Linked DNA regions of Rattus norvegicus. The protein of the gene in region 1 interacts with the protein of each later gene in a biochemical or structural test. Links are inferred from orthologs where the notes say so. Each region holds a gene or a part of one and is shown in the gene's direction. Other genes may lie near its edges.

What was found. The genes of interacting proteins can lie anywhere in the genome.
Region 2: the proteins of Cckbr (region 1) and Cck form a complex in vitro, tested with the Homo sapiens proteins (3 studies listed by BioGRID). The link is inferred for Rattus norvegicus from reciprocal best matches to the Homo sapiens genes CCKBR and CCK.

The regions. Positions count from the first base shown.
Region 1 is NC_086019.1:169,182,379-169,186,388, forward strand, and holds the start of Cckbr (gastrin/cholecystokinin type B receptor), read left to right. Parts: upstream 1-1,199; 5' UTR 1,200-1,234; coding exon 1,235-1,385; intron 1,386-1,594; exon of another isoform or gene 1,595-1,800; intron 1,801-1,907; exon of another isoform or gene 1,908-3,513; intron 3,514-4,010. UniProt on the Homo sapiens protein: Receptor for gastrin and cholecystokinin. The CCK-B receptors occur throughout the central nervous system where they modulate anxiety, analgesia, arousal, and neuroleptic activity.
Region 2 is NC_086026.1:130,034,798-130,038,809, reverse strand, and holds the start of Cck (cholecystokinin preproprotein), read left to right. Parts: upstream 1-1,212; 5' UTR 1,213-1,320; intron 1,321-2,368; 5' UTR 2,369-2,370; coding exon 2,371-2,584; intron 2,585-4,012. UniProt on the Homo sapiens protein: This peptide hormone induces gall bladder contraction and the release of pancreatic enzymes in the gut. Its function in the brain is not clear.

The DNA.
Region 1 (4,010 bases):
TCTGATAGCCACTTTGGGATCTCAAAAGATATTTCACATTGCACCAGAATTTCTTTGGAATGGAGGAGACTGGTAGAAACAAGGCTGAAAAAGAAAAGGAGGCCAGTCCTGCCTAAGGAAGCAGAGTCCACTTGAGCCTTCTTGCACACCAGAGGCGCCTTCGACTTTGTTCCCTGCTCTCTCCTGCCACAACCCAGTGACCCAGTCCTCCCTTGGCCCCCTCTCATGGGAACCCAACACCCTACCCCGGTGCTGCACCTATGCTGACAGCAAATGGAGCATCGTCGTTTTAGGTGTGGGTGGACGCTGCCTAAAGACGAGGGACGCTGCCTGCTCCCTATCTTTCACCCTGGTCAGGGCGAGAACTAGAACCCATACCAGAACCCGTACCACACCTCAACTCAGTTCATTTAGAGCAGTTCTCACTTCAATTCCCGGTCGCCCTAGTTCACTCCAACCCTTTTCCTTGTCTTCTTTGCGACCCTCCAGGACCCTCTTTAGAGTCTTTGAAGAAGAAGCCTAGGTTTGGAGTTTCAGATAGGAGGTGGGATATGCCAAGGCAGAAGCTAATCCTCACCAAAGAGCTAAGGTAGCTGACACTGTGGCGATCACTGCGGCCACTGCGGCAGAACTCCGTAACTGCGGCTCCAAACGTACTAAGGCACCTGCTCTGTAGCAGGGGAGCCTGGTACGCAAAACCGGATCACCACCGCCATCACCACGTCATCTAAACCACCAAAGAAAGATGCTGGACTCCACAGTAGCTACTCACTCTCCCATCACCCCATCCCTCCGGCAGGCGCACGTGTAAACACACACACACACACACACACACACACACACACACACACACACACACACACACACACTCTTCCAGAACTAGGGGCATTGGTATAAGAGGTGGGCAGAAAAGGCATCTTTAAGAGAAGAAGGGAGAAACTAGCGCGGGGGCGAGCCTGGAGAGCAGTCACTCAGGAGCGCGCGCTGAACTCTGGAGCCGAGGAGGCGCGCCGAGAGTCACCTGGTGGGACAAAAAGCCGCCTAGAGCCTGGAACCGGCTGAGGTTAAGGGGAGGCTGGTGGGGGAGTGGAGGAGTTGGGGCCAGGGCAGGGGGCGGAAACTAGGAGGGGCGGGCGATGTGGTGGGCGGGAGCCTGAGCCACCAGCGCCGCGGGAGCAGGTGGAACCGGTGCTAGAGCTCGCTTAGCAGAGCTAAGTGGGACTTCACTGGAGCCATGGAGCTGCTCAAGCTGAACCGCAGCGTGCAGGGACCAGGACCCGGGTCGGGGTCTTCTTTGTGCCGCCCGGGTGTCTCCCTTCTCAACAGCAGTAGTGCCGGGAACCTCAGCTGTGAACCCCCTCGTATCCGCGGAACCGGGACCAGAGGTGGGTGCCTCCCTAAGCCCTTCTCACTGAACCCCACAGCATTATTCAAGAACCCTTCTGACCTCTATTCTGTCAGCTGCCCATAGTTTTCCTTTGTAGGACTTCCGCGACTCACACAGAGACCCCCCCCCCCCCTTCACACACTGCGCTCCCAAGCTCTCATAACTCCAACACCTTCCCATCATGGTTCAAAACCCCCGACTTCATACTTGCTCTGCCATAGCTACTCAGATCATCCCCGAGCTCAGCATCACACAGCCGGGAAACAAGGACCTCTTCTTGTCAGCAGGTCTAGCTTTCTTTTCCTTTAACATCCAGTTCACAGAGCCAGTACCAAGGAGAGAGAGCGACAGGAACCTCTGAATGAAGGGCAAAGGAGGGCTGGGCCGGTGAGGGCATAAGCTCTCTGGACTGCCTGAATGGGAGATAAGAGTTGTAATAGTCTCCCACCCCACCCCAACCTTTCCCAAGAAAAGAGGGCTACATTCAGATCTGAATTTAACCAGCACAAGGGAATGCTACCTTTCTTGTTCCATTTGTCCCCAAACTCTTCTGTTCCCAGGGTCAAGTCCTCCACCCATCTGCATGTCTTCTCTGTCACTCTGAAGGTCTCTGAGTCCCTTCCACAGCGCCCCAAGTATCCCTTTTCTCACTTGCCTAGAGCCAACTTCCCCTGGCAACAGTCACCCCATTCCTTTGTGTCACCTTCCCTTCCTACTGCTTTCCCTCATCCCGGCTGCAAATGACTCATTCCTCCCATCAGTAGCATCTTCATTGCTTCAATGAACATCTTAAAATGCATGTTCCCTTTCCATCCCCATATTTGTTTGCAATGTTTAATGAACATTTACTAGGCTTAGTGCTGGGAACACTGAACGAACTAGACACAGTCTGCAGTCTCAGCAGTCTGCAGCCAAGTACACAGGGACAGAGAAAATCACTGCCTAGAAATCCCACAGAGGGTCTGATTGGAATATGGACACACAAAGGAATTGGGGAGTCTAGTAACTTCACTGAGGGTGGAACCTGGGAGCTCGGGTTCAGTAAATGGAAAAGGAAGGAGTTGGATTCTATGTTCAAGAAGTAAACATTGTTAAATTATACCCTACGTATTTACTCAGCCCATGAAACAATTCATGCTTTCTCAGTTTGGCTTTTACCCACTGTCACTTACTCTTTCACTCAGGAAAGATTTATTGGACCAGAAACTGCTAGGCAACAAGGATACGCATTTAACAAAACTGACGAAAACCCTACTTCATGGAGCTCTGAGTTTATAGGGGAAACAGACAGTAAGCCAGGAATGGTAGCACAAAGAGAAGAAGCATTGTGGATATATAAAAGGGACATCTCCAGCCTACTCTGCCCTTGGGGATTAAGACGGGTTTCCTGGGGTATGGATGTGATCAAGTAGGGAAATATGACAGAGAACCAAGTGACAGAGCAGAAGAGGCATAAAATGTCTTAGAGAAAGATATCCTGTCTCAAAAGCTCAAAGTTTAAGGCTATAGCATGTCTGTTCAGTATAACACAGTTTTTGTATGCTGGAACATGTACCCTTGAAGGTTCCTAATAACAGTGTAAACCAACCTAGAGTGTGCTTGGGGAGCTTTATAGCTCTTGCTATAATGTGTAGATTTCCTCCTGAGGCATTGGGATCCACTAAATAGTGCTGCCAGGATTGATTGCATGGTGTTGAGATTCAGATAGAATGCAGAAAGATACTTTAGAAAGCTATTGCATTACACAAATCTGGCTGGAAGATGATGCTAGCACAGATGGAGAGGCTGGCAGTGAGGATGCAAAGAAGTGGACGGACCCAAGAGCGACTTCTGGAAACGGAGTCAACAGAACCTAAACATTGATTAGAAATAGAGAGGGTGGATGAAGTCAAGGGATGAGATCCAGTTTCTGGTTTAGGCAACTGAAAGGATGTGGATGGCATATCATAGAGAGACAACCAAGGAGGGGGACTAGACGTGCATTTCATATTACAGCACCTGCTTGCAACGGCAAGGCCCTACATTCAGCTCCTAATAACGAAGGAGCAGAAACAGTTTTGAAAGAGGGAATTATTATAAACTCAATTTGGAGCCCATAGAGTTCAAAAATTGATGGTTACTCACCAAAGCTGTTGAATCCTGAGATCTGGAACTTACCTTGGAGATCTGAGCTGGAAACATAGACTTGGCAAGTCTTCACCTTTGGGGGGGAGAACCAGAAACCATAGGAATTGGCAAAATACTTTTAAAAAATATTGTATAAAATGAGAGCAGGGAAGCTGAGCCAGGACCCTACAGAAGGCTGGCATTTAAAAGCAAGGCAGAGGAAAGAAGGTCCAGGAGGAGATGTAAGTGAAATAGAAACAGTAGCCGTGTCTTTGCAGAAAGTGAGAGAAGAGTCTTAGCTGAGGTCAGGTAAGGGATACTAATTATTGCTATGATGAATCAGAGATGAACAAAATATCCACACCGGGGTTGTTCATACACAATAACTACAGAGAGGGTGATGTGATACCAAGACCTGACTCAGAAGGAGGAGGACTGGGCCATGGAGAAGGGGTTGCAAGAAGTGAACAAGAGTAGTTAGCAAAATGTCCAAGGAGTGGGGGCATCAGGGAGAAAG
Region 2 (4,012 bases), on another chromosome or scaffold:
ATCTCAGTCCACAGGCCCAGGAAAGGTCAGCGCTTGTCGATTCTGACTGTAGTGAACAAACAGCCCCGCGCTAAGCCGCATTATTCACGTTTCCAGACATGTTTGGTCCGTCACAAATACAGCTAATTCCTACAACCTGAGCTGTGTCATGGGGGGGGGGGGATCACCCCACAGCATTTAATCTGCTGCTGTTTTAAACACGTTGCTTCTAAGTAAAGAGACCGCTAGAGCCACAACCAGGAACCTAACTACTGCTGGCATCACTTGCCTTTTCATAGTCTCCCTCAGCCGGAAGGCCCCACGCTGGGTGCCTTCTCTATTTAGAAAGAGTTTCTAAGCCTTTCTCCTTCACCCTAGACTGGCAAGGTTGAGGGTAGGCTGAGGGTTGCAAGACTGTGAGAAAAGGGAGCCCCTCTCTTCTTCTTGCTCGGTGAGTATCTCAGCCAAGATCCTCACCACCCAGTGGAATCCCGTAACTCTAGAGGAAAGGAAGAACTCTAGAGGACGGGAAGATCATTGCAAGCTCCCCTGGATGTTGCGAGCCCAGCCCGCTCCAGTCAGCCAGCCAGAGCCTGAGGGTGCTTGAGACACTCTCTGGCGCCACTTCGCGACCAAAATCATCGGTAGATGGTAGACTGGTGAGAAGTCATCCTGGGAAGAAATGGAAACCTTTTCCCCAAAGGCTTTCCGCACAAAAGGCAAGAGCTGCACCCAGGATCTTAAAATTCTGTAAGACTAGAATCCAGGAGGCCAACTGTGATTGAGTTCTGAAAAATTGAGAGCCCTACTCCCCTCTCTCACTTGTGGGAGCCCACTCAGGTCTGAAGTGCTCCCAGAGAACATGCCAGAATTACATTTGCTGACACCTAGTCTGTGAGGGTCCCCCGGTTTCCTGGAAGGACTTGATCCCTCAAAGCTCACTAAACAGTGGTCAGCTTCTCCATTCCAGACAAACTCCTGCTTCTCTCCGGGAGTAGGGGTGGCACCCTCCCTGAAGAGGACTCAGCAGAGGCACCGAACAGGTGGGGAGGAAGCTGTTTAGATAAAGAGGAGGACTCATACAAAGTACCCCGCCTGGGAGGGGCTATCCTCATTCACTGGGCCGTTTCCCTTCTCCCCGGGGGGCCACTTCGATCGGTGGTCTCTCCAGTGGCTGCCTCTGAGCACGTGTCCTGCCGGACTGCGTCAGCACTGGGTAAACAGATGACTGGCTGAGTACCGGGCGGGGCTATTTAAGAGGAGTCGCCCTGCCGCCTGCCCTCAACTTAGCTGGACAGCAGCCGTTGGAAACCGCCAAGCCAGCTGACTCCGCATCCGAAGGTAAGTGGCTGGCAGATCCAAGAATCATGAGTGTGAAGAACTGGCCTGTAGCTTTGCATCTATTGCCGTTTAGTCTTTCCATTTTCTGTGCCTTCCCTCACTTGACAGCTGGAAAGATTTCCTGAAGTCGGAAATAACCTTACAATGCGTCTGGGTGGGTACTGCTGCGGAGAGACTTGCTCTCCTCTGTGTTCTCTGGCTAGGGCAAGGATGGGGATAGCCATTCTTAGGGTTTCCCTGTTGTTCGGAGCACTATGCAATCATTTAAAAGAAACTACCTAAAGGTGTTAAGACTTATGTCCATTTTTAAATGCTGCACTAAAAAAGAAAAAGCAGGTTTGGGGAATAGAAACACATCGTTATGATACAGGACCCATCTGCTCAGTTATTAAACGTAGCGGGGCTTTGGCCACATCTGAGGACTGGGCGCAGATTTCTGGGTTTTTGTTTTGCATAGTGGCTTTCCGTAAAACGCAGAAGAACCTCTATAAATACAGCTTCTCTTTATGGGCGCACACTTAAAACAGTGATTCCCATTGTCCTGCCATTTCTAATGTAGTGAATAAATTAAATCTCCCGCATTTCTCTCCAGGAGTATCTCTCCTTCTCCTCTCCTCTCTCTGTTCCTGTCTCTGTCTTTCTGTCTCCATCTCTGTCTGTCTCTGTCTCTCTCTCGCTTACTGCCCCACCCCCACCCCCACGCTTCACTCTGTGCTTTTCTGGTTAGAAGAGAGATACGCTACAAAGGCGTCCTGGAACTTCAGGAAAGCAGGAGGAGGCGCTGCTTCTGAACGGGGCAGTAAATCGGGTCTCTGCTAGATTCCCAGGTTCCGGGTGTGGGAAACACAAAAGCCAGACAGAAATGTCCCGAGGCGCGTGGTGGCCAGGGCGCAGCTAGAGACTTCTCTTGGCTACAGCTGAGCCAGTCTGGCGCAGCTGTAGCCCCCAGGTTCAGCCTCAGCCAACTTTCTGTGTGCGGGACTTTGGGCTGGAGCACGCCGCCGAGATCAGCCTTTGGTTCACGCTCCTCGCCTTTTGCTTCCCATAGATATGAAGTGCGGCGTGTGTCTGTGCGTGGTGATGGCAGTCCTGGCAGCAGGCGCCCTGGCGCAGCCGGTAGTCCCTGTAGAAGCTGTGGACCCTATGGAGCAGCGGGCGGAGGAGGCGCCCCGAAGGCAGCTGAGGGCTGTGCTCCGACCGGACAGCGAGCCCCGAGCGCGCCTGGGCGCACTGCTAGCCCGATACATCCAGCAGGTCCGCAAAGGTAAGGATGTCCGCTCCCCCTCAGGCTTCTGCCGCGGCTCCAATCTTTATCCTTTCCTCCACCGGCTGGGAGGAGGAAACGGGGTACGCACAAGGAGCAAGATTTTCACTTTTCTTTCCTGTGGTACGCTGCACTGCGCTGTGCAGTAGGCAGGTGGTGTTCACAGAGGAGGTAGCCAGAGGGCTTACCTAGTCAGGGAAGCGGGCTAACAGACCCTTTTCTGAACTGATTTTGACACGGTCTCAGGGATGAAGTATAACACCGTTTTAGGACAACATTAAAAAATAATCGAGTGCTGGTAAGAATCTTCAGATCTGTCCTATCCCCTCTGGTGTCTATGCAACGGAACTGGAAACCACCAGACACTGACTAGGGAAACCCTCTGGCAGGAAGTGGGGTCGGTGTTGAGACAGCCTGAGATCTGAAAAGAAGCAGTTGGCCTTGTGCACCTCTCCCCCGGCACAGAGCAGGAGGAAAGGGTCAAAGGGTGAAGAGCATTCCTTTGACTGTCAAAGGAGGATGACCACACAGGGAGAGCTGTGTTTTGCCTTTCTATCGCTGTTGGAAAGATGTTCCCAGTGCTGAAGACAGCCGAGCCTCTCCACATTGGGAGGCCTTTTCCATGAATCCCATGGGTGAGTCCACACCTTGCCAGTTGAATGTTTCTTTCTGTGCCCGAACCTCTCAGTTTTAGAGAAGAGTTGAGAGCAGAGCGACTCAGTTCCCCTCCCAGCTCTGGGATTCCAAGGGCAGCCTTCAGACGTCATGGCTTGCCCCAACAGCTCTCATCTGACTTTATCCACAGTGGCATGGATGGTGACCTCTGGGTGGGTGTTAACCTGGACCAGTAGAGCTGGATTAAAACACAGGAGGTGGGCATCCTTTTTGTGGAGCTCAGTAACCCAATTTGCCCATGGCTCCCCGACCCTGCCTGGCTTGACTGCGTGTGGCTTGACTGGTGAGGGGAAACTGAGGAGCCTGGTTGAGTCTCCTAGAGTTTCACAGGAAGATAAGATCTGGGAAAACGAAATGATTTCTTACTTTTCTTCCTGTTTTGGAACTCCTGCTACAGCCGCCCCTTTCTAGGTTATTTTCCTGCTAATTCAACAGAGAGGAGGGAGGGAGGGAAGGAAGAAGGGGGAAAGGGAGGAAGGGAGGAGAAGAGGGAGGGAGAAAAGAAGGGAGATTAGATAGATGGATGAATGGATGGATGATGGATGGATGGATGGATGGATGGATAGGATTGATGGATAGAGAGAGATGGATATAGATGGACGGATGGATGGATGGGATGGATGGTTGGATGGAGAGAGATGGATATGGATAGATAGATAATTGGATAATGAGAAAACCTGGAAACCTTGGGTTCCCCGTCTCCATTCCCTCTGATCGTTCATGTAGGATCTGCTCTCTGGTGTAGACCGCGAG